Xenopus tropicalis: one gene and its partners. The protein of the gene in region 3 binds, or shares a complex with, the protein of the main gene of each other region. Links are inferred from orthologs where the notes say so. Each region holds a gene or a part of one and is shown on either strand. Other genes may lie near its edges.

Region 1 (8,009 bases), on a different chromosome or scaffold from region 3:
TAAGCTTCTCCTTTACAGTGTAAACATGGGTCAGCCTTTCCTCATAACTAAAAATTACCCTGGCGGGCCGTAGTTCGAGGATCCCTGTTTAGAAGATAGTCCATTATGGTGAACTTGTCAAATTCAAAGTAGACCACATCTACTGCAACTCCACTATTCTACTTACCTCATCCTAAAAAAATGCTTAATGTGTCCATGATCTGTCCTTCATAGTGCTGATTATTGATTACTACTTAGAATGCCATCCTCCAAATCATAATCTTGAATGTGATCCCTTTACAAACCTTTAAATAAGCATGTCCATTACTTATGGGTCTATAATTGCCAAGCTAAGATTGGAGGATCCATTTTTAAATATTGGAATTAAATTAGATTTCCTCCAATCCATAGGTACCAAACCACATGCAAGCAAGTAGGGAAAATCAGAAAAGTGGCCTGGCTAAAACTGACCTCAGCTCTCATAGTACTCAAGGGTTTATAGCAGTGCTGTCCAACTTCTGTGGAAACAAGGGCCTGAATTTTTCTGGCCTATATGGTGGAGGGCTGATAATGGAAGCCAGTTTTGACCACTCCCCTTTTTTAAACTGCACCCACTTCAAACCACACCCATGTTATCACAAGAGCTTTTAAAATCATACCCACATTAATGGTGGTAGAGCAGCCAAAAACCCAAATAGTAGGTGCTCACTGTAAGGATATCACCCTTCATCCATATGTGAAAGAATTATATTATGTCATATTAAGACACACTCTTAAACCCATATACCTCATCCTCCCTTGTGGATAGCACAGCAACCCCCAGCATTTATATACTGGTTCACCTCCCACAGGCAGCATAGGGGAGGGAGAGTATGGCACACCCAGGCAGCATAGGGCAGGCATAGTATGGCACACACAGGCAGGGTAGGGCAGGTAGAATATTGCCTGTGGGTGCCATACTCTGCCAGCCCTATGCTGCCTGTGGGTGCCATACTCTGCCAGCCCTATGCTGCCTGTGGGTGCCATACTCTGCCAGCCCTATGCTGCCTGTGGGTGCCATACTCTGCCAGCCCTATGCTGCCTGTGGGTGCCATACTCTGCCAGCCCTATGCTGCCTGTGGGTGCCATACCCTGCCAGCCCTATGCTGCCTGTGGGTGCCATACCCTGCCAGCCCTATGCTGCCTGTGGGTGCCATACTCTGCCTGCCCTATGCTGCCTGTGGGTGCCATACTCTACCTGCCCTATGCTGCCTGTGGGTGCCATACTCTGCCTGCCCTATGCTGCCTGTGGGTGCCATACTCTGCCTGCCCTATGCTGCCTGTGGGTGCCATACTCTGCCTGCCCTATGCTGCCTGTGCCATACACAAAGGCAACATAGGGCAGGCAGTACATACTGTGACTCAGTACCATGTCCTGAGTCATCAATTGACTTGATAGAGCTGAGTCATCTGTGTCCTTGCCTAGTGGTTCTTGCAACCCCAACTTCTCTACTGTATACACTGTAGAAAAGAAATCCTTAAGCACATTTGCTTTCTATGGTCTTTTATACCCAAATCACCTCCATTTCCACAGTCCACACCTACATCTTTTTATAACTTAGATACTTTGAAAATGAGGAGATTATTGCTGCACAGGCAAAGACTAATCTCCAAAAGTATTTCACCTTTGCCTTCCCTATTGCTGCTTTACAACACTTGTGGTATTAACATTCTTTACAAGAATCATCTGTCCCCTCACTTGTAGTTTTTAAAAGCCTTCCTCTTCATTCCTATTAACTTACTTACTCCCACATATCATGCAGCTTAACACTCATATATTCATTTAGATAACATTATGGTCACCATTACCCTGGGCTTCTAGTGCATTTGTTTTATCACTAGGTCAAGTATAGCATAATTCCTTTAGGGGCCCTGAACAATCTGTGACATAAAATTGTTATTTAGTAAGTTTGTAAACTTGTTAAATTAACTGTTCTGACACTAATATTAAGGTCTCCATACACAGGCCGATTCTAGCTGCCGATATCAGTCCGTTAGACCGATTCAGCAGCTAATCGCCAGTGTATGGGCACTACTGATGGGCCTGCCCAACCAATATCTCGATCGGGCAGGTTAAAAAAACCTAGTCGGATCGGGGACCCCATCGGCTTGTTGATGCGGACCCTGAACCAACTTTGCCTATACCGTCGTTATAATTAGATCAAATCAGCCTGGATTCTCCAGATATCGCCCATCAATAGGTGGGGGATATCGGGAGAAGATCAGCTCGCTTGGCGACATCGCCAAGCGAGGGAATCTGAAGGTGTATGGGGACCTTTACTCCAATCAATATCTAATGAAGTCAAATAATTCACTATTATGACTTGACCCAAACTAGCATACCATTATAATTAGTTTGCCTGATGTCTTAAGATTTGTGAAAAGTTCAAACACAAAAGGGCCCTCTCATTTTCCACCACTTATTAATAGGCACCAACTATGACAATACAATAAATAAAATTATTATGTGAACTTATTAAGGAAAAGTGAATTTGAATAAATTGTAGTTGAATAGCCTATTTCTTCAAGGGCCGGGATTTCATACAGTTTCATTTCTTTTATGGCTATTTTTTATATAGTATGGGGGCAATTGGTCCCTTGGCTAGTGAGATAAGAATATCCTTATGTAGAGGAAACAACAGAATGTAATTATGTAGTGTAAATAAAAAGTTCCTTTGTTAAGGTACCTGCATGTCCATAACATCGCCAATGTGTCTGATGTCACACAGTTGTTTAGGATCTCCTTGGTATTCTTCTTCTAGACTTATGGCCCCAAAGTCTGAAGTGGCCCACACACATACCTTGTTTTCCTTGAGCATTAAAAAAAAAAAATCAGTATATGTAGTGTATTGACATGTCATAAAACTGTATGCAAAACTTTCACTAAATATATCAAACTTTGATATGCCTTAACACTAAGGGGCACATTTACAAAAGCACGAATGCACGAGCGTTCATGTGAACGCTCCGAGCGTATTTTCGCAGATTTTTTCGGGCGTCCGCACGACTTTTTCATACGACGCTCAACTTTTTCAGACGTTTGCACGAAAAAATCGGAAAGGTTTTACCGCTGTTTACAATTGTTCGGTATGAAAATTTCATGACTTTCGGGTCGCCAATCCGATATTATCGTGACTAATACGATTTTGTCATAAGCATTTACGTGATATTTGCGATCTTACGAAATTTTCGTTTCCAATACGATTTTTTCCCATTCGTGATTCGGATTCTAAGGCAGTGCTATTTGACATTTGTAGCCATCAGTGGAACTACATCACACTCTGGCACTTTGTGGTGTGCTGTGTCAATAATAATTAAAATTGTGCTAGGAAAATGACTAGATTTACCAACCCCCATTAAGTGTACCCAGGGCTCTTGTGTTACAGGAAACTGTAAGCTTCTTGTAGAGGGTAATACGTCAATGAGTACAAACACATGGCTGCACAATTATTACAATGATCTAAATTAACCATGTAATACTTGGGAAATGCTGCTCTTCCGTAGTTTAAATAACTGTAAGAGTTTGACAGCAGGGGATTCAGGGTATTATAGATCACCTACAGCCGTATCATTGTGATTTTTAGTTTACTCCGAATGTTGGTTAAACACATTTCCCCGTGCCACAACCATACCTCATTATCCCAGGAACCCGTAGCAAACACATCCGGTTGCTGCAGCGACGAGGCCGACACTGGGCGCCAGCGAGTTCTGCTAATTTTGTGAGAGACAAATTTTGCAGCGAATTTATCGTCCATGACACCCTTAATTTTGAGGTTGGCTATGCCACCACTACCCCCTTAATGACGAACACGTCCAGATTACAGGGCTATGTTGAAAAAAAGAGGCAGAGCCTGAAAAAAAGCCGCCAGACGGCGCCTTGTCTGCCACAAGCGTTCTGATTGGCAATTCTCAACAACCCAAACTGTACTTTCATTGGCTATAATTTCCCCGCCATACTTTCTACAGAGTAATCGCTGAGGTGACCAGTGATCGGAGTAAGGAAATAAAATGAAATGCGTTTATTAACGCATTCGTTGCCACAGTACAGTTCAGTGACTATGGCTTGCGCTAAACATACTTTGTTATTAATTATATAGCGTTATCCTTTCATACTGGGTTTTACAGCGTAAAGGAATACAAGACCAAACGGTTAACATATAGAAGTCCTGCTTGTGGCCTAATAATTTAATTAAGAGGGACTTATGTTTGTGTTACAGTGAAACCTTAATTTTAAATAACCTTATTTTGGGTTTTCCCACATTTTACACTGTTTAGGTGGACCCACCGACTTTTAATGCATAATACATTTCTTTGCTTTTACATTTTCCTGGAATTTTACATCATTTCTTTCTGGTCTCCTGAGAAATGTAAAATGGGGGTTTTACTGTATATCATGCACCTTATAAATTATAGGAGGAAAGCACATTGGGCTGTACCTAAAGTTGCCACATTTTGTACAGAAACATATTGGCCACATAGTGAAGAGGCGAGCCGGTGACATAAGGGGCAGGTGGGACAAGGAGACGTGATCATAACATAAATAGGCAAATTGGGCAGGGATGTGGTGAGAAGGGCAAAGTTATACAGTTTTTACAAATATGCACCTATATATTACATTTACAATTTAAAAATATATATATGCCCCCAGCCTTAGGGCTCTGGCACACAGGGAGATTAGTCGCCCGCAACAAAAACTCCCTGTTCGCGGGGGACTAATCTCCCCGAGTTGCCATGACCCGCCATCCCACCGGCGAACTTGTAAGTCGCCGGCGGGATGGCACTCCCGCGAACAGGGAGTTTTGTCGCAGGCGACTAATCTCCCCGTGTGCCAGAGTCCTTAGTAAATCTGGTAATGGAGCTGGGGGTGCATGGTAGGGGGTTGGGTTGCACTGCAGAATTGTCACCACGCACATGCAGCATGTGAAGTCACTTTCACAACGTAGGGGTATGTGACATCACGGGCACAATGATGTCACATCTGCAAAGTAGGGGGTATAGTTAGGTCTGGTGTCTAGAGTGGCATTGTTGTGTACCACTAGAGGGAGCTGCATGCCTAAATGTTAGCTCAGCTACATGTGTTATCCAGCTTGACTTTCTACTTATCCTGCACAACTCCACTGTGAACCCAACAGGCACCAAACCTAAATACAGCACTGTAGCTAGCAGAGATGAAAAGGTAGCATTTTTCCAATGCTTTAGCTATGTAATGGGCTCTCCCTAAACTGCCATGTACAGTATATACTTTCCTAAAATTCTTGTATACACTGCCAAATGGTCTGGCCCTCCCCACAAAAATAAAAAATAATACAAACTTCACCTGACAGAAATAAACTTTCTACATATAGTAAAAAAAATGTGCTGTTTGAATCCCTTAAGTGAGCATATTTACATTTGGTTCTAAAAAATTTAGCTGGTCCAGTTTGTTTATGTAAGCAATATTTACTTTTTATGCTATTGCGCTCTTTGCATTAGCCTCAGGGTGGCACTTGGGGCCCGAACACAGCTTTTACTTTCCTTGGCAACTGAACCTATCACCATAAGGAGATAGTAATGGGTTACCAAAAAGCAGACAAGGAATATAAAATAAACCTGTATGTAGACAATCCACAGCTGACACTGCAGAGTCCCCTTATTAGCCTGATTAATTAGTGAATTTGATTAACTGCTTCCAAAAATGTAGTCAGTTCTCTGGTCTCATGGTAACCTGCAAAAATTGGAGATAAAGGAAATAGGTGATCCATATCAGACAATGAAATTGATTCAACCTTTTATATCCCTGCGAGAACTCATGCAATGTCAAAGCCTGGTTCCAGCTAGCCAAATCTTATAATGAACTTTTTACAGTCTCCCTTTGATTAAAAAAGTCTTAAAGGACATGTAAACCCCACACACAAAAATTGAATCAGTAAACAGCCTCTTTGAAATCTTTCAATACCTGCCACACTGGTTGTCCAGAGGTTAATAGTAAGGCTGCAGCATCTCCTTAATCACTTAGATTTCCTTCTCCTCCTGTAACCCACTCGCCCCCCCCCTCAGGAATTTGCTTTGATTTTTGGCTTGCTCTGTCTGCTTCAATTTTTTTCTCCTAACGTCCTCTCCTGAGCTCAGCTTAAACAAAGAAATTTTATCAAAGACAGTTCTGCCTATGTTAGCCTGTATTCTTGATGAAATGTATGCTGAATAAGGGTCTGTGTGTGTGTAGGCTGTTTGCAGATTTAAATGTATCTGATAAGGTATTAGAGGAAAAATGATGACCGGGTGAAAGCTAATATTTGCTTTAGAATAATGTGATGGTGCTAGGAAACAGAGTGGATATATGCAGTACAAATAATGTCATTTGGATGGGGGAGACGTGCCCAACTGATATACATAAGTGTATATAAGTGTTTAGCAGGCGTTAAAAACAAAAGGGTGTTTAAAACTAAAAAGGCACTATACGAGGGATTGCACTCGGGAGACTGTAAGTACCCAGTGGCAATATGAGTTCCAGTATGATTGCCGGTGTTACTCAGTGTGAATCTTGTCACATGTATGTGATCCTGGAGCAGCAGTTCCATACAGCATTCACTTGTGAGAGATGCAGGTGGGTTTTCCTCTTGGAATCTGAGGTGCAGAATCTAAGGGGGGGAACTGGCAGCACTGAGGGCAGCTGCAAACATGGGGGAGAACAGGAGGCTCACTGAGCAACCACTGGCAGGGGCCGGTGTAGTGGGGGGTGGAGAAGGGACAGTGGAGGTTAATAAGGGAGACAGGTTTGTGACAGTTAAGAGGGGAAGTAGGGGATGCAAGGGTAGGGGGGCTGGTTCACAGCTTGTACAAACCCACAGATTTGCCGCTTTAGGTGAAGATGCTGGGGAAGACAGCTCTGAGGTAGCATGTATGGAGCAGGCTGACTGTCAGAGCACCCTGAGAGCCTGCACCTCTAATACAGGTGGGGGGAGTAGTGCTTGGAAGGGAAGGCAGGCTATAGTTGTAGGGGATTCAGTTATTAGAAAGGTGGATAGGGTAATTTGTTGCAAAGACCCTACATGCGAAACTGTGTGTTGCTTGCCTGGTGCTAGGGTTCATCATGTGGTGGAACGAGTGGACAATTGTTGGGAGGGGCTGGGGAAGACCTGGCGGTCTTGGTACACATAGGTACCAATGACAAAGTTAGAGGGGGGGGTGAAGTCCTTTAAGAACGATTTTAAAAAACTAGGCGCAAAGTTGAGGGCGAGGACTTCCAAGGTAATTTTCTCAGAGATATTCCCTGTGCCACGAGCAACGTTAAGAAGGCAGCGGGAGCTTAGGGAGATTAATGCGTGGCCGAGAGATTGGTGCAGGGAGGAGGGCTTTGGGTTTCTCCAGAACTGGGCTGATTTCTCAGTCGGCTACAGGCTCTTTGCCAGGGATGGGCTGCACCTCAATGATGATGGGGCAGCTGCTTTGGGGGAAAAGATATCTAGAGGGTTGGAGGAGATTTTAAACTAGGAGTGGGGGGGGAGGGTGCAGCGGGTAATTCTGTGGTAAACAGGATAGATGAGGTAGTGGGCATAGTAAGGGAAAATGGGGGAGGAGACTTGCTTCAGGGGACTGATAATGGCAGGGAGGCCCATAAGATGTTTAAGCGACATTCTCACGCTGGTACCAGTATTAAATGTATGTTTACTAATGCAAGGAGTATGACTGGTAAAATGGGAGAGCTGGAGGTACTAGCATTGGAGCGGAAATATGATGTGATTGGCATTACTGAAACTTGGTTGAATGAGTCGCATGACTGGGCAGTTAATATTGGAGGTTACACATTGTTTATGTCACGGTCGGCACCCTAAACCAGAACAGATGCCAAGTTCCCTTGTCTCGGCTCGGCTTCACCAGTATTGTGACCGCCTTTGGCTTCGGGAGGAGCCCTCAGCTACTCAGATGCCACCTGGACTTAACGAGAGGAACAAGGCAGGAGTTCTGGCAAGCAAAGGGGCACGACTGTAGATAAAGTCAGTTAGGCCGAAGAT
Region 2 (8,265 bases), on a different chromosome or scaffold from region 3:
AGCGATACCCTGAGCCACGGCTTCCGAAATGCATGCCAGCAAACTGGAAGAAACAGCAGAGCCTGAAGCTGAAGGAGGAGACAGGCGGGACGGCTCTGCCAACAGTGAAAAACAATCTGCACATAATTTCTTATTCGGGAGACATCCTTGGTGCACAGTCTAAAAAAATTATAAACCAAATAAGCATAAAAAAGGCACCAAAAAGGATAAGATACAAGAGAAAAATTAAATAAATAAATACCTGCAATCAAATAGACCAGGAAGACTAGACGGCCACTGGATTAGGAACGTGTAAAAAACGCCCAGGAACAAGGCAGCACCTAGCTGGAAAAATTCATCAAATTTAAAATTTCAAAAATACCGCCCTCAAAGGAGCAACAACCAATAGGGAAGGTAAAACCATCCAGTCCTGGTGCTTGCCTGGTTTTAGGCGTTTGATTGCCACTGCTATTTCCTCATGTGTGAAATCTTTATTCATTAACTGTTTCATGTCTAGAGTGACCTGGAAGGTATTTTTGCAGGTAATTGTCTAGTTCTTTAGATTTTTCTTTTGTGTAAAATTGGTAAATGTTTCCACTATCTTATCTGGATTGGTTAACTTGCCATCCTTAAAAAATAAATATGCCCATGTATCCATGGGCCTAAATTGTTCTACGTTAAATTGGACTGTAAATATAATTTAATCTCCAGTGGATAAATAAGGATTTATAGGCCTTCACAATGGCAGGAGTAAAATTATTTGAGTGCAAATTAAAAGGAGGAGACTGGGCTGTTACTGTGGGAGACTGGGGGGCCAAACCCAAGTCTTTTGGGGTATACTAAGAGATTGCACTATAATTATTTACGTTAGGGGGTACATTTATGGTTAAAGTTACCCGTCTTAATGGCTATAGCTTAATGTTGTTATTGTTGCAATATACATAGGGGACTAAAAATGATAACAATTATTATTGGTATATATTTAATGAGGTTATTATCAAGCAACCCAGTCAGTTAAGGTTCTGTACCCTGAAACAGCAAAACATGCAGCTGAGGGTCTAAAGGTGGGAAGAAAGGAACAGTCAGCATTGGATTTGTCTGTAAGGTGGGAAATGGGGGTCCTGTTTTATGTGTTATTACAGTTTTGCTGAAATCGTCCCCAAATTAGTCTCAGTTCCCCCAAGAGACCTGTTTAGCTTATTAGTTACAATTGTATCTCAGTGCAGGTGTGGCTTTTTACCTTTCTGGGCTCTCTGCCAAAAGCTACTTATTTAATTAGGCTAATGTCAGACGAGGCGTCTGCCGTATATTTTCGGCAAGCGGAAAATCGATTGCCAAAATACCGCCATCTGCCTCCTACCTGTGCCTGCACCGAATGAATGTAATACGCTCAAGTGCTTTTCCGCTTGCCATAAATATATGCCAGACGCCTCGTCTGACATAAGGCTGATGCCACACGCGGCATAGGGCTGATTTTTTCGGCAAGTGGAAAAACGCTTGCTGAAAAATCAGCCCTACACCTGCTACTTGTGCCTGCACCCGAATGAATAGCAATAGCAGTATTGGGGAGCTCAACCCTCTGTTAACTTACCCAAACGGGTATCAGGTGCAAATACTGGAAGAACCTCACCTTGCATGGGGGTCAATATCCAACAGCAAAAAAATCCAGTAGCACACTGAAGATGCAAATCGTGAAAAAAATGTATTTTATTTGCCCAAGTACATAAAAACAAGCAAAGAGCAACGTTTCGGGACCCTCCGGACCCTTTCTCAAGCTTGAGAAAGGGTCCGGAGGGTCCCGAAACGTTGCTCTTTGCTTGTTTTTATGTACTTGGGCAAATAAAATACAATTTTTTCACGATTTGCATCTTCAGTGTGCTACTGGATTTTTTTGCTGCACCCGAATGAATGGGATACGCTCGGGTGCAGGCACATGTAGCCGATATACGCATGAAAACGCGAGAGAATGCAAAGTCTAGCGTTTTCATGCGTATATCGGCTACATGTGCCTGCACCTGAGCGTATCCCATTCATTCGGGTGCAGGCACAAGTAGGAGGCGTAGGGCTGAATTTTCGGCAAGCGTTTATCCGCTTGCCGAAAATTTCAGCCCTACGCTTCATGTGGCATTAGCCTTAGCCTTAAAAGCGAGAAACAATGTTTCTAAGTGCAGGTGAAGCTCAATCAGATTTCTGGGCTCTCTGCCAAAAGCTACTTTTAATTAAATTTGTATCTTTTTTTAGCTTCAGTGCAAGAGATCAAAGGGAAATGAGGGACTTTTCAGTAAGAATCTGGGACTGCGGGTTAAGCTGTCAAAAGAGGGAATGTCCTGCGAAAATCGGAACAGTTGGGAGGTATGTTGAAGCAGTAATAAATTATCCCTATTATATTGTATATTATCCCTATTATATTGTTATTGGTTTTTAAACTTCAGAGAACCACCGCTTGACCAGCAATAACTTATCAGACAAGCAAGGAGGGATCACAGCAGCAGCAGGATGAACAGATAATACGTTTCATGGTGTATATTAGTTATGACAGATCAGCCAGACCTAAATGCCAAAACTACAGCGCAATAACATTCATTTTTAGAAAGATTTATCTTAAAATTGTTCATGAACTCAGGTATGATTTTGATCTTTTGTATTCCCAGGTATAATCCTTTTTTCAAGGTTGACGAAAATCTAACTTTTATCTCCACATAAAATTTGTATTTTTAAGGCAGTGCCCTTTTCTTTTGATGTCTTCGTGTTATACACTGTTCCTTACACTTACCACATCGTCTTTAGTTTTCATGCCAATGTGAGAAAAAACTACTAGTCCCAGAATTCTCTATTCACTGGCGTTAAGGTGTTGCTCGGCGACAAGGACGTCGTGATGCAAGACGTTGTTGTTGTTATTGCGGCCGCCTGGTAAGTAGGCAAAGATGGCGGCTCACTGGAGCAGCGAGAACGTGGTGGTAGAATTTCGGGATTCGCAGGTGAGTGGAATAAATGCAGGAGCTGTGGGTTCACTGCAAATATCGAGCGCTCTAATCTGAACAACCTACAGAAAAATCGGCAGATAGAAGGGAGTGGCTTGCGCATGCCTAGTAGTAGACGCCTAATGATTGAGTCAGTTTTTAGCTGTCAGGGGAGGTAGACATGGCTCCAGTATGCCTGGACTTCTCTTTACAATTAGTTTTATAGTGTTTTGTATATTCAGGAGGCCATTAAGTGCAATTGTCAGATTGTTGACCTATTAAATAATGTGATCTACTGTTCAGTATATATATATATATTTTTTTTTTTCTTTAGCTCAGTCACGTTGCTTGTCCTAGTATCTAGAATTGTAGCACAAGTTCCAAAAGGCATGTCATTTTTAGTGTGGTAAAATGAATTTGAACATTTCCTTGTTTCCGTGTTCTTTTGTTTTCTCCTGCATTCCAAAATTATAACAAGCAGGATTACTGGCTTTTAATAAAAAAAAAAAAACTAAAGATTAATCCACTCTCTCAAGGTAACAGTGCTTCACTTACACATATAGTTGCCTATTGAAGCGCTGGGTGTAAAACTATGATCCCCTCTGCCCAGGGTCACTCCTTGTAGAAAGAAAGAAAGCCTCAGCAGCACGTAATGATGAAACAAAGGCGATTTATTCGGGCCACAAGTAAGGCAACATTTTGGGCTCTACAAGCGCTATTAAGCCTTAAAAGGCTTGATAAAGGGCTGGAAGAGCCTGAAACATTTCCTTACTTGTAGCACAAATATATCACCTTTGTTTCACCAAAGTGATCTATGCTCTTATACAGAGTTAATGAGAAATTCTTTAATCAAAATAAAATTTGCAGTGTTTTCTCTCCATCCCTCAGTGATAATTCGCAAGAGTGGCAAAATGCTGCCCCCCTAAGACTCTTGAAAGCAGCAGTATATATGTATACTGAATATATATGTGTTCTAGTGCCTAGCATGTTAAACAAGCAACCATAGAAAGAAGTATCTTGTAACAAAACCAGTACATAAAAAATGATTTTATTCAAGGTTTCATATTAAAATGTCAGTATACATACAAACCCTAGTATCTCCATGGAGTGTGTATATTTTTCCTGTGCTTGTATAAGTATGCCCTGAGCACTCCACTGTCCATAAGGGTGAATAATGGGACAGCTTGAAGCCTAAATTATACACTCATTAGGTTTTAATCTGGGCCCATCCATTACACTATATAAGGTAATCCTAGTTACTGCCCTAATAGCTTTGTATTGTTGTTTTATTTCTGTAAAAAATATTTTTTTCATCCTGGTCACAAAAAGAAAATATAAAATAAATCCACTATAAATGTATTATTTATTATGTAAAGAATCATAACTTGCAAATATGTAATGTTTTTATAGGCAACTGCTATGTCAGTCGATTGCCAAGGACAGCTTGCTGTACTTTCTGGGTAAGTTTGTTTCCAGGAAAAAAATAGTGTGCATAGTGTATTTATACATTTATTGATATAGCACTGTGCTGATTACACAGAGCTGAGACATCAGTGACCAGTTCAAGAGTAGTGCATTTGTTTTATGGATCTCTGTCTGTATAAATTGCCAGGATTTTTAAGATTGAAAGATTCAAAAGAACTTACATTCTAACTACGGAACTAAGGGACCTTTGGACAGTGGGGCACTTATTTAGGTTTCTGTTATAAGAACCAATATCTGGTTTAAGGCATTCTGAGTGCACTACTTATATCTTACTTTATCAGAATGCACATTTGCATCAGCAACTAAACAAAATGTAAAACAAAAAAAAAAAGCTTTTTGATTATTTTGTCTTTTAATACAGTAATTCTTGTGCCCGTGCAAGTGTGCATATTTGCTATAAAATTTGTTCTATTCACTTTTGCACCATGCTGGTTTGTACTGATATTGGTTTATATAAAACCAATATTAACCTTAAGCTGGCCATACACGCACCGATAATGTACAAAACCTCGCTTCGTACGATATTCGGTGCGTGTATAGCAAGTCGGCAAGTCGACCGATATCGCAGGAGGCTGCTGATATCGGTCGACTCGCCGATCGGCCAGGTTAAAATATTTTGATCGGGCGCCATAGAAGGCGCCTGATCAAAATCTGCCTTCAGGGCTGAATCGGCAGAAGGAGGTAGAAATCCTATTGTTTCTACCTCCTTATCTGCCGTTTCAGCCGTGAATGGTTAGTGGTTGATTGTACGATCTTTCGTGCGACCATCGGTCGGCTTCGGCACATGGTATGCGGCGGTGCGGACGAAAAGACACCGCGCACGGGCGCACACGACCGAACGTACGCCGCTCACGGGCACCCCGCGACTGACGCTGCACGCATGCGAGTTTCGAATTTAAGGACGCTGAGGCCTGTACACTTTGCGAAGTGATCATTTTTGCTTGCAATCGTCACCGATCATTTCTGGTATTCCTGATTGATCCTTGGACTTCTGATTTCAGCTTGCTTCTGACTACTCTTCGGTTACCCCTTGGCTTGACTTCGGACTCTGACTTCTGATTTGACCCCGGCCTGTTTTATGATCTTCTCTTCTGCATTTGGTGCCTGATTTTGTGTATTCACCTGGGCTTGGACTTTCTTGCTCACGTACCTACGTAGGTACCTACGTCACTCCTGCTATTCTTCAGCTGGGCCTGCTACTGTTACCACATCCAGTGTTCGGGCCCAGTGGGAAGCGTAGGACAGGCTAGTTTTCATCGGTCTATCGCGATATCTGATAGTATCACTTCGCCATGGAGTCTGGTGATCAAGCGGCCTTTTCCTCTGATGTGCTTTTCCAACAATTAGCAGCGCTCACCCAAGCAGTCCAGGATTTACAGGGGTGCTATCAGCAACTACAAGTTCAGATCCAGGGCCTTGGTGTGACAACAAATCCAGCCCCAGCCGTTCCTGTGAATCCTTCTGTTTCTAGTACAATGGGTTTCCAGCACACTTGTGAGAAGTTTATCAGAGGAGTGCACGCAGCATCATATGTTCACCTCCACATACCTTCAGACTTCAATGTATGGGAATAGCAGCACTCATTTTCATAAAACCACCTTTATTTTACATGTGGCACAGACACAGCAACATTTCTGACCTCCTGGTCCTTTCTCAAGCTAACAAAGAATCCTTCTGTTTCTTCTGGTACTGCAGCTACTCACTTGCTGGTCATTGAACCCAAGATGCCTCTGCCCAAGCGTTTTTCTGGTGACAGAAAGAAATTTCGTGCTTTTTTAACTGACTGCCGTTTACTATTTCTTCTAAAGCCCCAGATGTATGCTTCTGAACAAACTAACGTTGGACTGGCAATCTCTTTGCTATCCGGAGAGCCAAAGACCTGGGCACATCGACTGCTGGAAACTCGGAGTCCTCTGTTAAGTGACTCAAACGCCTTCTTTGGTGCCATGGCACAACTCTATGATGACCCTAAGAGATCTGCAACAGCTGGCAAATGCCCAGTTGAGGACTTTGTAACTGAATTCCATACCTATGCCACTTATACGGAATGGAAGATAAAGCTCTTAAACATCAGTTTAGTTTAGGGTTAAGTGGGTCCTTAAAAGATGAGCTGGCCCTTGTGGGAGTCCCTGAGAGTCTGGAAGATCTTATTGAACTGGTGATTCAAATAGATCGATGACTATAAGAGAGATGTGCCGAAAGATCTAATCCGGCTTCGTCATCCTGGGTTCTTTCTAAGGCTCCTTTTGTTCTACAACCCCTTACTTCTGCTACGCCAGTGGAACCTCCTGAACACATGCAGATTGGCCTTATCAGGATCGCCATCTCTCCTGAGGAAAGATTCTGAAGAGGGCAACATAATCTATGTGACTGCGGTCTCCCTGGTCACTTTCTAAGAGATTGTCCTACCCGGCCCGCGGGTAAGCCACATAGACCGACTTCTTCTTTTTCTACTCCCACTATTTCCAAGGACATTCCTCTGCTAATTGTCCCTATCTCCCTACAGTGGTCCCAAGGTCTTCTAAAGAATCAAGTCATCATTGACTCTGGAGCCTGTGGTTGCTTCATTGACGCTACTTTTGTCAAGATCTACAATATTGCTACACGTCTGAAGCAGCAACCCCTTCTTGTGAAAACAGCAGATGGCTCCCAGATCTCTTCTGGACCGGTGACTTTTGAAACTGAGCCACTTTCTGTGATTATCAACTCTAATCATCTAATCATTTATCCTTTGATGTGGTATCCTCTCCTCTTTTCCCGTTAATCCTTGGTTAACCCTTCAATAAATTGCACTGGTGTCATGAATTTCTCCTCTGAGAAGCTGTATTTCGCATTTCCTATCTAACTTTTCTGAAGCAAGATCTCTGGCCTTGTGCTCCATACAAGACTCTTGGTTTAAGTCTCTACCGCATTATTTACAAGATGTCTTGATGTCTTTGATGCTAAAAGTGCAGATACTCTTCCTCCTCATCGAGTCTATGATTGCCCCATAGAACTATTACCCGGGGCACCTATTCCTTTTGATGTTTCTGAATTATTGGCTATTAAAGCGGCTTTTGAGGAATGGCGTCACCTTTTCGAGGGAGCGACCCACCCTATCATCATTTTTTCTGATCACAAAAACTTAGTATATCTCTGTACTGCCAAACGTCTTAAACCTCATCAAGCCAGGTGGGCTTTGCTTTTCTCCCGTTTCAATTTTCATATTACCTTCAGACCTCGGTGCCAAAATAAGAAAGCTGATGCCTTGTCTTGGATGTTTTCGGAAGAAGAAAAGCCTGATTCTCCTTATACAATTCTTCGTCCACAGAACTTTCTCTTATTACAAAGTGATCTAATCTCTAAAATTAAAAAGATGTCTTCTTCTGTTTCACCGTCTGATGAATTACAAGCCCATGATGGACTTTATTTCTTGAATGACAACATTTTTATACCTGAATCCCTTAGATTGGAGACTATGCGAGTTGTTCATGACCACCCTTTGGCAGGACATATGGGGGTCTCTAAGACTTTGGATCTTGCCAGAAGATATTTTCACTGGCCTCATATGGCCAAGGACTGCAAAGCCTATGTTTCCTCTTGTGAGACTTGTGCTTGTGCTTGTTTCAAAGATTCTCATACTAAGCCCCTGGGATTATTACATCCTTTACCTGTACTCACCAGACTTTGGGGTTCTATATCAATTGACTTTATTGTTGATCTTCCACCCTCTCAAGGTTTTAACACTATTTTTGTTGAAGTGGATCGTCTGTCCAAGATGGTCCATTTTATTCCGTTACCTGGAACTCCTTCCGCTTCTTCTACAGCTGAAGTATTTATCAGAGAAGTAATTCGTCGCCAT
Region 3 (8,119 bases):
TGTGCGTTTAGGAATAGCATGCTAATATTGAGGGCTGTGTTTTCTATGCAAGCACACAAGGTTTGTGCCTAGAGCAGTAGCAGAGGTGTATATAGCATTTTCTTTTTAAAGCTCCAGACCACCACTAGATTCTAGTGGCTAAATTAACAAACAAGATGAGGGGCTGAGTACCCAATTTCCACCAACTGGCACATGCACATTTACAGTATTAAGCATGCAACAATTGCATAGGGTAGCAACAGCTATTAATCCGCCACTCATAATACTGTAATAACTAATAAACTTTTTTTCATTATTGAAGCATGGCAGCTTTTCCCAGTAGTACCCAATCACTAAACCTTTTGCTCTGTTTAATGGCAATGGAGACATTTCCTTTCATTATACTGTCCCTTTAAAAAAGGACTAGCAAATTAGGCCCTAGTTAGTATCTGTTGATTGAACATCTAGAAAAACTATTTCCAGACAAGAAATGTCCTGTTTAATACACCAGTAAGTGCAAGGCAGCAGTATATTAAAATTAAACACATACGAAACAGTTTATTTACCGTATATACTCTAGTATAAGCCGATCGCCGAGGTACCTAATTTTACCTAAGAAAACTGGAAAAATTTATTGACTCAAGTATAAGCCTAGGGTGGGAAATGCAGCTCCTACTGCTTTGTTGTTTTTTTTTTTTTTTTTTTTTAACTGTCAGGCAAGTTTGGGAAGGCTAAGAAAGCTGCCATACTAAGTACTTGCCAACCTGCTGTGTGCGCTCCCCTGTGTGCTCTCCCATCCTGCTGTGTGCGTTCCCATCCTGCTGTGAGGCCCAAACCTTGGTTGAACAGCCCGTAATGCTGCCTTCAAGCTACTAAATAGCTGTTTGCTCCTCCAGAGAGCTTTCTATTGTCTAAGTGGCCCATAATGGGGACTTAGACTATTTTCACATGGAACATTTTGATTGTCTATATTTGTAGCGCGGTAAAAAAAATACCTGATGTCCACCACAGTCTGCTTCCCATTGACTTCAGAGCTGTGCAACTTGTCACCCAGCGTGGCTGAATATCACCCTAATACTTAACAGCTCATCCAAACAAAACAGCTTGTTGGATTTCTGCCGTGTGCGCTCCCAACTTAAAAAGGCAAGCGCACGCACGTACGACCATTCACGGGGGGGGGGACACTTACATCTTCAAATCCATATACTCGAGTATAAGCCAAGGGTGACTTTTTCAGCACATTTTTGGTGCTGAAAAACTCGGCTAATACTCGAGTATATACAGTATTTGTTTATTGTTTTACTGGTCTTTTAGTGCAGAAATTAACTTAGATCTGTCTACTGCAGGTGGAAGAAACCTTCAGAATTGTAATTTTGGTCACAATGTTGCTGTTGTAGAAATGCTTGTTTTGGTCTTTTTAAGCAGTCTCTGTCTCTCACTGCTTCTGTCTACAACAGACATAACATTTGTTAGACTTGCTATTCCAAGCTGTTACAGATAATATGGGTATTTCTGACTGACACTGATTTCCTCAACAGCACCTCTGCATGTCATAGGACTAAAATCCAACCTCTAACAACCCCTAACATTTTGGCACCTCCCAGTGATTATATCTTGCCTTCTCCTTTAATGCGGCTCTATGTTTTACACTTACTTGATATAATGGCCTCCCCTTTAATATCATTTTCTGAAAATTCCACTGCATTTTATTTGCATATACCCAATAAATAGTATGCATATAACAGATATTTTAGGACAGTAACTTACCTTCCAGCTTGCAGTACAATGCCAATCGCCATTTTCACTTTTGTCCCAAACCTACAAACAAATATATATAGCCCCGATTGATTCACAGCATGCCACATGTTGGTGTGAGAGTAAAAAGCAAGGCATTTTGTTTAGCTTATATATATAAGTAATAGGTTTACAGACCTAAAGACTACATGTTATAGGTGAAGGGGTGATAAAGTTATCTGCTTAGATAACTCCAACATGTGCGGACATATAAAGCCACATTTATCAACGGTCACACTGTCACCGGCGTACTAAGTGCCAGGAAATATTGCTGTATTTATCATTCTTTCCTATTAGATTTTTTCTGAGTGAAATTTATTTTAAAGTTAACTTTAAGTATGATGTAGAATGGTATTTGGAGAAATTTTGCAATTGGTCTTCATTTTTTATTACTTGTCGTTTTTGAGTTATTTAGCTTTTTGTTCAGCAGCTCTCCAGTTTGGAATTTCACTAGCTATCTGGTTGCTAGTGTGCAATTTAACCTACCAACCAGACAACTATCTAAAAGAAAGGCAGGAATATTAACAGAGTATGACCTAAATAGAAATTTAAGTAATAAAAAAAATCAGTGCCCCCCCCATTTGAAAGCTGGAAAGAGTCAAGAGAGGAAAGCAACTAATTAAAAAATAAAACCAGCTTAAAAGTTACTAAGAATAGGCCATTCTATAACATACTAAAAGTGAATCTGAAGGTCAACCAGCACTGTTGCAGCACTTTACACAGTTTGAAAAACCTGACATGACTTTTCATCCTGGTTGACAAGAACAGCAGACAAGAAAGTTTTGACCAAAAGCATAAAATGTTTTTCAACTGATCATAACTGGAGAACATTTCCTGGATAAATCCAACAATTGTGTAAATGGGGATTTTTTATTTTTTTTTAAATCAAATCAAGAAAAGGTCAAGATATGTGTAGTATGCATAAAAAGCCAATGCTTTAACAGGAAGCTAGTTTTTCACAGTTGAATAAATATGTCCCTTACAGGGAAAGTGACATGTTCCAGTCAAAACAGGAATGTGTCACTATGCCTAAATAAATCCAAGCTGCTAATCTTTTCTAATAGAGGTGGCCTGCCCCCCCCCCCCCCTCCCTGAGTTATATTGTGCTGCTTAGAGCTATGTATTGATAGGCTGGAGCACTGTTTATATTTGTGTTAAGGCAATTAAAAACTGGCACCAGCATTATAAGTGGTCCTAGCAAGAGCTGCTTGGTGTTATCTTTATTTTGGTTTAAAGGAAAACCAATGCCCTTTAAAAACCCTAGGCCCCTCAAAAGGAGTCCCCCTCCCAAACCACACCACTGAGGTCCCCTAATATTGCCGCAATTACTGTACCTATATTATATCAATAGCAGTGCAACAGGGTTGGTGCAGTGTTTATGTTCTCTATACAACGATCACCAACCTGATGCATGTGCAACACAGATCCGGGTAGGTCTGCCAACTTTGCCCTCAGCAAAAACCAAACAAAAGGGTGGAATGATTGGGGGCAAAGCAGTGACATATAAGGCAGTGATCCCCAACCAGTGGCTCAGTAGCAACATGTTGCACCCCAACCCCTTGGATGTTGCACCCCAACCCATTATTTTTGAATTTCTGGTAAGGAAGCAACCTTTTGGTTGCATAAAAAAGCCAGTCCACATAGGGGCTATTAAGTAACCAATTATAGCTCTTATTGGCTCCCTCAGGAACTTTTTCCATGCTTGTGTTGCTCCCAAACACTTTTTCCATTTAAATGTGGCTCACAGGTATAAAAGGCTGGGTATCCCCGATATAAGTTAATAACATCATAAGGTCAAAACTGAACAGATGGCAACCCTAGATCCCACCAATCCCGTTGCACTATTCTGCCTTTAAAGAACAGGTATGACCAGGGTACTATAAGAGGTGAGCAGTGCTGCAGGGGGGGTAGCTAAAAATGGCAAAAGGAAGACAGGCTCATCCACTCGGATCTTGGAGCATGTTTACAGCTATGCCAGTTTTACCAAACGGAAAACATCCTCTGGAGAATATATCCGCACGAAGCTATAGAACAGGAGGATTAAATATAGCCACACGCTTCCTAATTTTGCGTTGTGCAGTTAAAAAAACAGCAGGAAGGCCTTAGGATGGGTGCCCACAAAATTCTCCCGCTTACTTTCACACTCTGGTCACTGGAACATGTCGCCATCCTCCTGCCATGGAAATCAAACGACACATCGTGGATGAGATCTTTGTGATCGGCAGCGATACTTCTTGCCACGAACATAGTGCACAAGTCGGAGTGTCAAGCAGTTTGGACAGGGCTGTTGGTTTAGCGGTTCGAACTAGACGTCAGAAAGCAGCATGGATTTTTTTTTTTTTCATGGCCCAGACATGAGCCTGACGTCACAGCATCAGAACCTCTACGCGCCTGCGCAAGACTTCGCGCTTTTACATTCATCCATCCGGTCGCATTCTAAATACGCAGCGTACGAACTGTGGAAAAGGGGGAGGGTATTTGTGTGTGATGGTAGGCCGCGCAATTTAGCTTTCTAGGAATTTTATTATCTTCTGAGCTAGTTTCGAGCTGCTCGCTGAACTGTTTACTATTCAGAGCCACGGCTTGTAAAACAGAAGCGCTGCTATGTGCGCCCCAAGGGCGAGATTAGTAGCCCTGCAGCCCAGTCACAAGCAATAACGCCAATGAAGCCATAGTGAAGGTGCCGGCCCCTGAGGAGATTTGTCGCCCACAATTGAGGCCAGTGACACACAGGGAGATTAGTCACTGTGCAAAAAAACTCTGTTGTCATGGGCTACTAATCTTCCCGCAATGCCATCCTACGGGCTAAAATGAAATTCGCTGGTGGGATGGCATACGCGGCATAGCCATTTCCTCTCAAGACAACTTTGGCAAATTGTGGTGCTGCGTATGCCATCCCACTGGCGATTTACATTCTAGGTGGTGGGATGGCATTGCGGGGAATTGCTGGCAGAAAGGTGCACGTGTTTCCAAAGTCGCAATAGTTTTGGAAACTGCACAACTTCAGAAAACGCCAGAAATTAGTCATTCGTTATAACCAGATTTAACTGCGAGTGACTAATCTCCCCATGGCCTATCACGTTTACAATGATTACAATGCTATTTTGCTGATGACACAAAGAAAATTAATCTCTAGCGGTGGCAAATAATCTCCCCGAGTTCTTTCCTACAGGTAAGAATGTAAATCGCAAGAAACCTTTGGATTACTTCACTTAACTGAAGAGAGATTACTTGCTACCTCTAGAGGCGATTAATTGCAGGGCAACTAATCTCGTATGTCATTGGCCTAAAGCTGGTCATATACCCACCAATATCGTACGAAATGAGGTTTCGATATTCGGTGCGTGTGCGGTGGGTCATATCGATCACATCATTGAACGGGCAGGACAAAAAACTTTGATGATGCCCAATCAAAATTTGCCTTTAGGGCTAAATCGTTAGATAAGGGTAGTATCCCTATTGTTTCTACCTCCATATCTGACGATTCAGCCCTGAATGTCAGTGGAGGGTGGGAGTGATCTTTCCAGCAACCAATGATCGTACGAAAGATAATAATTGTAAGGTATATGGCCACTTTAAGGTAGAAAAGTATCAGTGGCTGCAGGTGGGATTTCTAGATCCACTCATCCAGGCCCCTCTTAAAGGCATTAACAGAGTCTGCCATTACCACATCACTAGGAAGGGCATTCCCCAGCCTCACTGCCCTCACCGTGAAAAACCACCTACGCTGCTTCAAATGGAAGCTCTGTTCCTCTAATCTATAGGGGTGACCTCTGGTGCGCTGATTGTTTTTATGGGAAAAAAGAACATCCCCCAACTGCCTATAATCCCCTCTAATGTACTTGTACAGAGTAATCATGTCCCCTCGCAAGCGCCTCTTTTCCAGAGAAAACAACCCCAACCTCGACAGTCTAACCTCATAGTTTAAATCTTCCATCCCCTTAACCAGTTTAGTTGCATGTCTCTGCACTCTCTCCAGCTCATTAATATCCTTCTTAAGGACTGGAGCCCAAAACTGCACTGCATACTCAAGGTGAGGCCTTACCAGGGACCTATAAAGCGGCAAAAATATGTCCTCATCCCTTGAGTCAATGCCCTTTTTTATACAAGACAGCACTTTATTTGCTGTAGTAGCCACAGAATGATACTGCCTGGAATTAGACAACTTGTGATCTACAAAAACCCCTAGATCCTTCTCCATTAAGGATGCCCCCAACACACTACCATTCAGTAGATAGTTCGCGTTTATATTATTCCTACCAAAGTGCATAACTTTGCACTTGTCAACATTGAACCTCATTTTCCAGTTTGCTGCCCAGTTTTCCAATTTTGTCAAATCGCTCTGCAAAGCGGCAACATCCTGCATGGAATAGTTTTGCACAATTTAGTGTCATCAGCAAAAATAGAAACAGTACTCTCTATGCCCACCTCCAGGTCATTAATAAACAAGTTAAAAAGCAAAGGACCAAGGACTGACCCCTGCGGTACTCCACTAACCACACTGGCCCAATTAGAAAATGTTCCATTTACCACCACTCTTTGTACTCTATCCTTCAGCCAGTTCTCTATCCAATTACAAATATTATGTTCTAGGCCAATATAACTCAATTTGATCATTAACCTTCTGTGAGGTACTGTATCAAACGCTTTAGCAAAATCTAAGTAGATGACATCAACTGCCATTCCAGCATCAAGGTTCCTGCTCACCTCCTCATAAAAGGCAACTAAATTAGTCTGGCAAGATCTGTTACGCATAAAACCATGCTGGCACAAACTAATAGTATTGTGAACTGCAATGTATTCAACTATCCTATCCCTTATTACCCCTTCCAGAAGCTTTCCTACTACTGATGTCAGACTAACAGGCCTATAGTTTTCAGGCTGAGAACGAGATCCCTTTTTAAATAACGGCACCACATTAGCAATCCGCCAGTCTCTCGGCACCATGCCAAACCTCAACGAATCCTGAAAAATTATGTGAAGAGGTTTGGCAATCACAGCGCTCAGCTCATTTAATACCCTGGGATGAATCCCATCCGGTCCTGGACCTTTGTTTACCTTTACATGTTCAAGTCTCTTTTGAATTTCCTCCTGAGTGACCCACGCGTCAGTAGCTAAATTACTAGCACTGGGTATATTAAAAGGGAAGCCTTCATTATCTGGCTCCTCAGATGTATAGACAGATGAAAAATAAGAGTTCAAAATGTCTGCTTTTTCCCCGTTCTCATCAACCAACGTACCTCCCCGTGATAATAAAGTTCCCACCCCTTCTTGCTTCATTTTTTTACTATTCACATAATTAATTTTAGCTTGCCTGATAGCTTTTTTGCATGCTTTATTTGCTTCCTTGTACCTGATGAAAGTTTCCGCTGTCCCAGCTAACTTGAATGCTTTAAAAGCACGTTTTTTATTACCAACCTCGACCTTAACTCTTTTATTCAGCCATAAAGGTTTTGCTTTGCGATGCCTCTCCTTGCTTACAAGGGGAATATACTGTTGTGTATACTTGCAAAGCAATGTTTTAAAGATGTTCCATTTTCCTTCTGTGTCTAACCCCATGAAAAGCCTTTCCCAGTTGACACATTGCAGAGATGCCCTTAAACTGCCAAAGTCTGCACGTCTAAAATTGACCGTTTTAGTTACTCCCTTATAGAGCTGTCTCTGTAGCATTATCTCAAAGGAGACCATGTTGTGATCACTGTTCCCCAAATGCTCACCCACACAAATGTTAGAGATAAGTTCAGTATTATTAGATATTACCAGGTCCAAAATAGACTCATTCCGAGTAGGTTCTTGAACCACCTGAGATAAAAAGTTGTCATTTAGCATATTTACAAACCTACTAGCTTTTTCTGACTTAGCCACCCCATTACTCCAGTCAATGTCCGGATAATTAAAGTCCCCCATAATAACAACTTGACCCAATTTTGAAGCCTCCTCCATTTGCAAAAGTAGCTGGGACTCATCCCCCTCATCTATACGGGGTGGTTTATAGCATACACCAATGATCATTTTCTTTGTGACCTTCAGCCCTACTGAAATTTCTACCCAAAGAGATTCAACGTTTTCATTTGTAATGTCTTTATTACATGGCTTTAAATCTGACTTTACATAAAGACAAACCCCTCCACCCTTTTTAATCCCTCTGTCCCTCCTAAAAAGCGTATACCCATTTAAATTCACAGCCCAGTCGCATTTTTCATCCCACCAGGTCTCAGTGATACCAATTAAGTCATAATTTTCAATACATGCAATAGCCTGCAGCTCCCCTATTTTTCCCGACAAGCTACGCGCATTAGGGAACAGGGATGACAGAATCCTATTGTGTTGCACAACATTTGCCACA
Region 4 (7,981 bases), on a different chromosome or scaffold from region 3:
TTTCCACCGGTGACTCCCATTGTTGCTGGTGGAAAGGCATTTTGGAGTGCTTAGTCGCCCGCGGTGGCAGCAATCTATCGCAGGCAACTAACTCGCTCTGTGGGTCCTTAGGTTCAGACCCTGGCCTGGCCAATTAATACCCTAATATGCCCCAAATTTACCTTTTTTCTGCCCCAATCTGCCCTCGAGCCATCTGTGTTGCCATAGCCCCACCCATTTCTTGATAACCCATCTCCTTGCATCCCCCCCCGTCTATGTCATGGATCGCCCCATTTTGTAACCACTTACTGGCTCGCCAGTAAGTTAAGAGGCAACCCTAATCCCAACCTGCAACATAATTGGGTTACCCATCCTTAAACATCACCACCCGTGCCAGCACAATGTCACAGCTGACAAAGGGGCTGTGCGGCAAAAAATTTATGAGGTTGAACCCCTTTAGCCTTACCGATTAGTGCTGCTTTTTAAATATTTGTTAAAGGACAATGAAAGGTTAATATAAATTAAAAGTAAATCTAAAGGCATTCTTTTTAAGTACTTACTGCATATCTAAATTCCCAGATTCCTGCTTGCTTCTCTGAGATATGGTGCTGGCAGCCTACAGCAGTGTGAAGACTACAGTGACATCACTAAAATCTCTCTGTCCTTCCTGTAGGCTGCCAGTGGCATCTTCCTATTCTCTGAGCATGTGTGTAACTTGATCCTGTCTCCTGTTCTGAGCTACACATGCCCACCAGCCAATCAGAAGCAGATCTGCCAGAGGGGAGGGGGGTGGTGGGAATGAAACACATGTGCAGTATGAAGCAAGGAGGGAAAGGAAGGGAGAATACCTTTTTAGAGATGGCTGCCTGTTCTAGAAAATGTGAAGTAAGTGTGACTGAGTAAATATTTGATTAGGTGAGCCAAAAGTGTGGTGTTTTTACTAAACAATAGGAGGACTATTGGGCAGTATGCTTTTTACATTTTGACTTGCATTCTCCTTTAATGTTAGATGGTAAGGTACATCACCTGCAGTTAAATATGCGATATCATGAGCAACAAATCAATTAAAAATGCATTTCCAGTGCCAAACATAGAACTTGCAGCAAGTAAAACATACTGCTTGCAGCAATCAGGCTTAACCTTATGAAACAGTCTCCCTTGCATTTTCCCACTATTAAAGACAGAACGCCGTGAGTTACATTTAACTTGTGGCAATCGCAATGTTAGGCAATGGTAGTGCAAGTAAAGCTTTAACTGTAGGCCTTAGCGTTGTCCTTAGTGTTTTAGCAACATACATTATGACTTTTGAAAAACAGACGTGGGTACCATACTGGGCTGTAATACATTTTTTCCTGTTAAAAGTCACAACAGAAATTAAAAAAGACAAGTGATAGCATTTGCTCTAAAGTATCATATCCTCAAAACTTTTACTGAGCCCCGTACTGGCAATACACAACCAAGCATGCAAAATATGTCGATTACCACCCAAATGTACCAAGAAAGATCCTACAGCAAGAGTTCACACAAGCAAAGTTGGGTATAAGCTCAGAGTGAAAAGTTCCTATATATTTTAAATGGAGCAGTGTTTCTAATATGCATGCTGCAAATATGGCAAAGCAAACAAATCCACAGAACATATTTACACTTAAATTTAAATCAGTGGATTTAATTTGCTGTGCTCATCCAGTCAGACTCCTACTTCAGTTGTCATGTTTTTTTTTTTTTTTTTTTTTTTTTTAACACAGAGAGGCACAAACTTAATTTACCTGTTTATTAACCTCAGCAAGAGCCAGCTGTAAAGTCAGAAGCATATTGTCTGCTCCATATATTGTCGTTCTCTCAGAATCAGACACAACAGGCCACTCTTTTCGAAAGTATTTGATTAAATCCAACACATTTTCAAGTGGACAGTCCATTTTCAACCTAAGGGGGAAGAGAAAAGTTTAGTAAAGACAGGAAAAAAAAAAATAAGTACAACATTTTACCATTAGATAAAGAAAGAAAAGAAGAATCAATCACCAGGGATGGTGAGTTGCTTGGCACCCCCAGTGGTCGTTGCCACCTGTAGCATCTGCCCAGATGCCAATCCCCACCTTACCCACCCCACACTCACTTGTTTTGTGTTGCTAGCACTGAGCGTACAATTGTACTTTCTGCACTAGAACTTCTAGAAGAGATGAATTTTGGATTAAAAAAAAAAAAAAGAAAGAAAATTTGTATTTAAAAAAAATAAATAAAAATCTGGCTCTTGAAGTTACCAGAGGCAGCTTTCTGCTGCCCCTATTAACCAGCCATGCACTGTTCAATGAAGGAGCAGTCTGGGCTCGCCACAATAATAAAGCATAAACCTGTAATACTCTATAGAACATCAGCACTGTAACAGAATTAGAATCAGCATAACTCATCTTCAAATTAGAAGTTTATAGGCTAATGATCTAAACAGAAATGCTTTTATCTGAAAGGATGCAACCTTCAGGTGATCCCATATTCTATTTGAGCAGTATATTTAGGTCCTTCAATGGTCAGGACAGTTTCAAAGTAAATTGCATTCCTGAGCACATCTCCAGAGCAAGTCTTATCAGCTACTGCACACTGTTTTATTGTTTACTGTCCTAGAGTCCAGCTTCAAGCACAACCCCCCTAAAACTCCCTTTTCGTTCCCAAGAACTCCCTTCTGCAGAGCCTTTTTCTATAACGTGTAATTGTAAGACAATATAAAAACCCCCCAATCCTTTGTCTAAGTATTCTTAGACTCTTGCTCAGAATCTGTGATAAATAAACTTTTTCTACCCCAAATGATATCCGGTATCTGAATTTCCATAACAGTAGCATATCTTAACCTGATGTGGTCACCCAAGTCTTTGGCCAAATCAGGCTACAGGACCATCAACCAGATAATATGAGATAGCCATGCATTGCTGCTTAGCCATCATGGCCTACATCCATTCTGGTACATTCCTTGTCTATAGGTATTTTCTTCAGGTAAATAAGGCTCTCCCTAAGTATGGGAAATATATATATATATATATACACACACACACACACACACTGGAACAAGGACAGCACTCAACGTTTCAGTCTTACACAGAAACCTTAATGGTCTCCAGATGGGTAATAAACCTTTCTATTTTTGCATTTACATTTTGCTCACAATTCTTTAAATCCTAGGAGTGCTGTCCTTGTTCCAGTGCATGTTTTTGGTACTACCACCCAGGTATGCACCCTATGGACAGATGACAGATGATAGATAGACAGATAGATAGATATTCTATGCAAAGAAAATCATAACACAAACACAACTCCCCTCACCCCACTACTTAAAAAAAAATAATTACACAAGTGAATATGTATAAACATTGCAAAGACTTAATAGAAAACAGGCCAGGGATGGGGCTGTTCCCGTTAGGACTACTAACCTTTAGCTGTCTGCCTACTGCTTCGCAGCAATATGTTGTGCCTGCAAAACATATATTTTTTTTTAAATGTGGCTTAATTACATAGAGGGTGAATGGTATGCTATATGTGTGGGGGGTTAAGAGAGAAGCAGCCATGGGGTCTAATGAAGAGAGAAGGAAATATTAAAATATTAGACAGGTGTAAAAAAAAAAAAAAAAAATTTAGTATAGAAGCAAAAAGTAGATAGTGTATGTACATCATACTTACTTGTGGGGGTTGAGACAGAACGAAGTTACCACCAGAAGACGCAGCTACTATTCTCTCTATCAAACAAAACAGCAGCTGTTTCTCCTTTCAAAAACCTCGTACGTTCGTGGGACTTTTAAATTTTCGTAGCGCCACAGAGTTGCCTAGATTCAGCCAATCAGCGTGCGCGACCTAGAGCCCCGGATATGATAGGTAGTAGGAAGGGGATTCGCTCGCTTTGAAAGAGAACTGCAAATCTACTGGCGGGAGCAGGGCAGGCTGGGTCGGTGTGTATTGGTGATACAGCGGGGTTTCTGCGGTTGCTGAGATAGTTATAACTACGGAATATGAAATGTTTTGGTTGTAGGGTACATGGTCTGCGTATATTGCCAAAACGCGGCGTGTATTAATGGTGGCGGGTGGCTTTGGTAGAATGCGATTTCACCCGCTGTAAATGTGTCAGGCGTTTGCCGTCTGTAAGTTGATCGTATACAGTTTGAGTGCTTGTTTGTAGTAGTAGTAGTAGTAGTAGTAGTAGTAGAAGTATGCGTGATGTATATATGTAGGTTCTTGTTTGTCGTATAGTAGAAGAACGATATATCAATTGAACAAACGGGTGTATGCACTATAAATAAAATAAATACACACTACACAAAATTAAAGACAAAAGGAGGTCCCTGCCCAGTCTAAGTAACTTTGTTACAGTGGTTGTTCGCTTTAACTACTAGTATGATGTAGATCGTGCTCTGAGACAGTTTGCAGTTGGTCTTCATTTTTAATTGTAGTTTTTAAATTATATAGCTTTTTCTTAAGCAGCTCTCCAGCAAGTTCAGCATCAGTCTGGTTGCTAGGGCCCAATTTAACCTAGCAACCAGGCAGTAGTTTGAAAGACACAGGAATATGAATAGAGGAGGCTCGGAATAGAAAGAAAAAGTAACCATAAAACTGTGTCCTCAGCTTTTTGGAACCACCCCTTTAAAGCAATACTGAAATGTTTCCATAAAAATCCATTGGAATGTGTCCGTATTACTAACGAGTTGCAGAACCAAAAACCTTCTGCCAAAAGCCCACTAACACTGGCCCCAGCGCAGCAATAATTTACCTGAGGTGACACTCCAACATGGCTACAGATTCCTTTGCAGTTGTGTCAGTCATGCTGGGCTAAGTGTGGCTTGATCCTTCCATAGGCAGTTTTTATTTGTAATTAGCCCGTGGAAACTTTGCGTGACAGAGAGCCTTACGGATTCTTCTATCTGTCTCCTTCCTGGGCTGGAGGTGGTGCATTCCTTGGGGACTTTTGGCCATAAATACGTTGGTGCTGCAACTCTTCAGTAATAGTGACATGTTTTCTAGGAATGTGTCAGTAGTATTTTAAAGCGACCATAAAACTTTTTTGTGTATATCTAGCTCTACGAGGGCATGGACCTCCTTACTGCTGTGTCTTTTAGAATTTACATTGTACTGCGCTGCATTACTGCATTTTCATGTATTCATGTAGCACTTCATAAATACAAAATTTATAAACATACATACATATGCTCAACATAGAACTGCCCCAAGTATTATGCATTTCAAAAATACACTGACCAAGGGCCTACGCAATTTTGGAAACTGATAAGTGCAAACTGATCTATCAGCAAGTTTAAGGGCTCTGGCACACTAAGTAAGTCGCTGGTGGGCAAATTTCGGCAAATCGCCTGCGCAGCGTGTGCCATCCCACCGGCGACTTACATTTTCGCCTGTGGGATGGTAGTTCGGGGAGATTAGTCGCCTGTGACAAGGGAGATTTGTCGCGGGCGACTAATCTCCCCGTGTGCCAGAGCCCTAACAGCTGGAAAGGGTCTTTTTTTTTTTGCACTTTTTCTTTCATTAAAAGGGAGTCTCCATCTGCTCTGCTCCGTCTAAGGTCCTTATCAGGGTCAGGGTTAGCAAGAGCCATGCTGTCGCTGACTGTTTTTAGTGTGTTGAAGCAAACCAGAGTACACAGAAGAAACCCTGCACAAAGGAGAGAAAACACTACTTCTTCTTGCAGAGAATGCCCAAGCTGGAATTAACCTCATGTGCACACTTGAGAACACATGTGACTACAGCCATCACAGTAACACCTGTGTTGTAAAAAATGGCTTAATAAGGGTGCAAAAACTGTACCCTTTTAATATAGCATAGATCTATACATAAAATTTGAAGATTTTCTTTTTCCTTTTAGCACTTTTAGAAATAAGAAAACAGAAGCAGACTATGAAGCAAGATTCAACAAGTAATGCCACCTACACAGTGGACTGTGAAGATTATGTGCATGTAGTAGAATTTAATCCCTTTGACTCTGGGGAGGCAGGCTCTTTACTAGCTTATGGTGGAATTAGTTATGTCGTTATTGCATCTTGCAGGTTTCAGGTATGTACATGCCAATTATTTTTTCATTTAGTGGCTGATTTAGGGTAAAATTGTAGGTGTGTACATTTTTTTTACTCCAGGCCATTGTGAGAGTCATATGGAATCACTTGGAAACATCGGTTGATAAATGAAAAACTTTTTAATGTTGTGAAACATATATGTAAATTACTATTATGGAGTCAGCATTGACTACAGCAATTTTCCTAGTAGATAATCCACTTCACATTAGGGGGGCAGGGTATGCCTTTTTAGAACAGATAATATTAAGCCTAATGATCCTGATTCTGTCTTTTAAGTATAATCGCCGTTGGAAAGGCTTTTGCATCTCTTTGGTTCTCCAAAGTCGTGCAAAGTTTCCAGCTGTAGGCAATTTTGGAAAGCTGAAGAGATGTGTAGACTTTTCCACTGGACTATAACCTTTGTTTCTGGTGGAAAGGCGAAAAAAAGTGTTTTGGGACCCAGTGCTCCATTGTAAACTACAACTTCTTATAGTTATACTTAACATATATAATTTTAAAGAAGAAGAACCACTATATTTTGCTTGAATTCTTAACACAAAGGGCATCATAACTGTTGTATGGAACTGCACTAATATCCAGCCTACTAATATACTCATACCTGTGCCTATACGTGATATTTCATTTTTAGGAAGAAGATTCTGCTGTAGAAGGAATAGAGTTTAAGACCCTAAAAACCTTCCATCATGGAGAAAGAGTGGTTGCTATAGCCTGGAGTCCAGAAACACGATGTGATGCTTTACTTCCTCTACTGAGGTATGCATTTTTGGCTTTTTTAGTTACATACAGTACATATGTTATTTTTTTGACAGGGTTCTTATTATTTTTAGTATGTTGGTACTGTTATTTTTTTATTTTTTTTTTTTAAAATGGAACGCTTATAACTGACTTCTTATGGCACCTCAAATTGTGCAATCTTTGGACAGAAGAATGCAGCTTCCCGCTGCTGGAGATATGCTGGACTGTATATAATAGGCAGTCTTGCATTTCAGATTGTTTTCCCCAAATAGTGGTACACTTTGTGCTTGCTATTTTCAATTTGGGATCTCTACGTGACATACTTACATGACTAAGTACACTAATTTGCTTTATGTGTTTAAGAGGAGAATAAACACTTGACCTATTCCACTTTTTAAACCTACTTATAGATACACTATGCAGCCATTGAATAATTGACTGATGTGTTTTTTACAAAAATGTGTCCTTACTTCAGCAACAGCCCTTTTTTTGGTTGTGTCCATTACATTGTCTTGCTTGTCATTTCAGTCTACCACATGCTGGCAGATGTTCTCTGCTTCGCATAACTTATTCTTATGTGTCTTCTTATCATCTAATCATTTTTGAAGCTTGCCTTCTAAACACTTATTTTTGCTATAATGCTCCCTAAGCATCAAAGTTAGTATAAATATTGCACTGCAGAAAATAACGCTATTAGATAATCAGGTGATTTTTCTTTTCCCACATGCTCTCTAATCTTTATTCTCTAAATATACATTTAATTTACTTTTTTAATCAGAAAGCAATTATTTCTACTGTAGGTTTGCCACTGCAGCTGGTGATAAAAAAATAAGGATCTTTACATCAGATTTCCAGGACAAAAATGAGTATAAGGTACTGAATACTTTTATTTTTGCAATTCATAAGCCACTAATCATAAACATGCCACTATCCAGATAACTCTACAGACATTTGCAATAAACAAATGTAATACAAACAAATGCATTATGCATGTACATTACTTTATTGTTATTCGGGGGTCATGTAGCTAATTCTGGGTTTGAAACAGACATTTAGTGGAATTTTTCATGTGGTGTCATATTGAAGAATTTTGCAGTTTCATAGTGTTAGTAAAATAAGATCCAGCCCCCACTGCGTCCTCACTCCTGGCTACTACCTGTCACAGATGCAGCAGGAAGCCAGAGGACAAATCAGGGAGCAGGGATGCAGGG

Evidence for each region.
Region 1: seh1l (region 3) and nup43 share a complex: the UniProt entries of both Homo sapiens proteins name them as parts of the nup107-160 subcomplex of the nuclear pore complex. The link is inferred for Xenopus tropicalis from reciprocal best matches to the Homo sapiens genes SEH1L and NUP43.
Region 2: the proteins of seh1l (region 3) and wdr59 are in contact, whole or in part, in a cryo-EM structure (PDB 7UHY), measured with the Homo sapiens proteins. The link is inferred for Xenopus tropicalis from reciprocal best matches to the Homo sapiens genes SEH1L and WDR59. Residues at the interface, in NP_112493.2 of Homo sapiens: Asn308, Tyr309, Met310, Asn312, Lys314; in NP_085058.3 of Homo sapiens: Pro713, Asp714, Glu716, Thr717, Pro718, Arg721, Arg837, Glu840, Gln843, His844, Asn847.
Region 4: seh1l (region 3) and nup37 share a complex: the UniProt entries of both Homo sapiens proteins name them as parts of the nup107-160 subcomplex of the nuclear pore complex. The link is inferred for Xenopus tropicalis from reciprocal best matches to the Homo sapiens genes SEH1L and NUP37.

Annotation. Positions count from the first base shown.
Region 1 is NC_030681.2:58,288,569-58,296,577, forward strand, and holds the start of nup43 (nucleoporin Nup43), read right to left. Parts: upstream 4,067-8,009; 5' UTR 3,774-4,066; coding exon 3,651-3,773; intron 2,829-3,650; coding exon 2,706-2,828; intron 1-2,705. UniProt on the Homo sapiens protein: Component of the Nup107-160 subcomplex of the nuclear pore complex (NPC). The Nup107-160 subcomplex is required for the assembly of a functional NPC.
Region 2 is NC_030680.2:74,563,351-74,571,615, forward strand, and holds the start of wdr59 (GATOR complex protein WDR59), read left to right. Parts: upstream 1-2,721; 5' UTR 2,722-2,903; coding exon 2,904-2,957; intron 2,958-4,349; coding exon 4,350-4,399; intron 4,400-8,265. UniProt on the Homo sapiens protein: As a component of the GATOR2 complex, functions as an activator of the amino acid-sensing branch of the mTORC1 signaling pathway. The GATOR2 complex indirectly activates mTORC1 through the inhibition of the GATOR1 subcomplex.
Region 3 is NC_030682.2:103,475,214-103,483,332, forward strand, and holds the start of seh1l (nucleoporin SEH1), read right to left. Parts: upstream 4,084-8,119; 5' UTR 4,021-4,083; coding exon 3,910-4,020; intron 1,798-3,909; coding exon 1,747-1,797; intron 1-1,746. UniProt on the Homo sapiens protein: Component of the Nup107-160 subcomplex of the nuclear pore complex (NPC). The Nup107-160 subcomplex is required for the assembly of a functional NPC.
Region 4 is NC_030679.2:49,127,694-49,135,674, reverse strand, and holds the start of nup37 (nucleoporin Nup37), read left to right. Parts: upstream 1-3,876; 5' UTR 3,877-3,908; intron 3,909-3,931; exon of another isoform or gene 3,932-4,075; coding exon of another isoform or gene 4,076-4,097; intron 4,098-5,827; coding exon of another isoform or gene 5,828-5,859; coding exon 5,860-6,015; intron 6,016-6,663; coding exon 6,664-6,788; intron 6,789-7,570; coding exon 7,571-7,643; intron 7,644-7,981. Other genes in the region: parpbp (PCNA-interacting partner), read right to left, coding at 1,746-1,895. UniProt on the Homo sapiens protein: Component of the Nup107-160 subcomplex of the nuclear pore complex (NPC). The Nup107-160 subcomplex is required for the assembly of a functional NPC.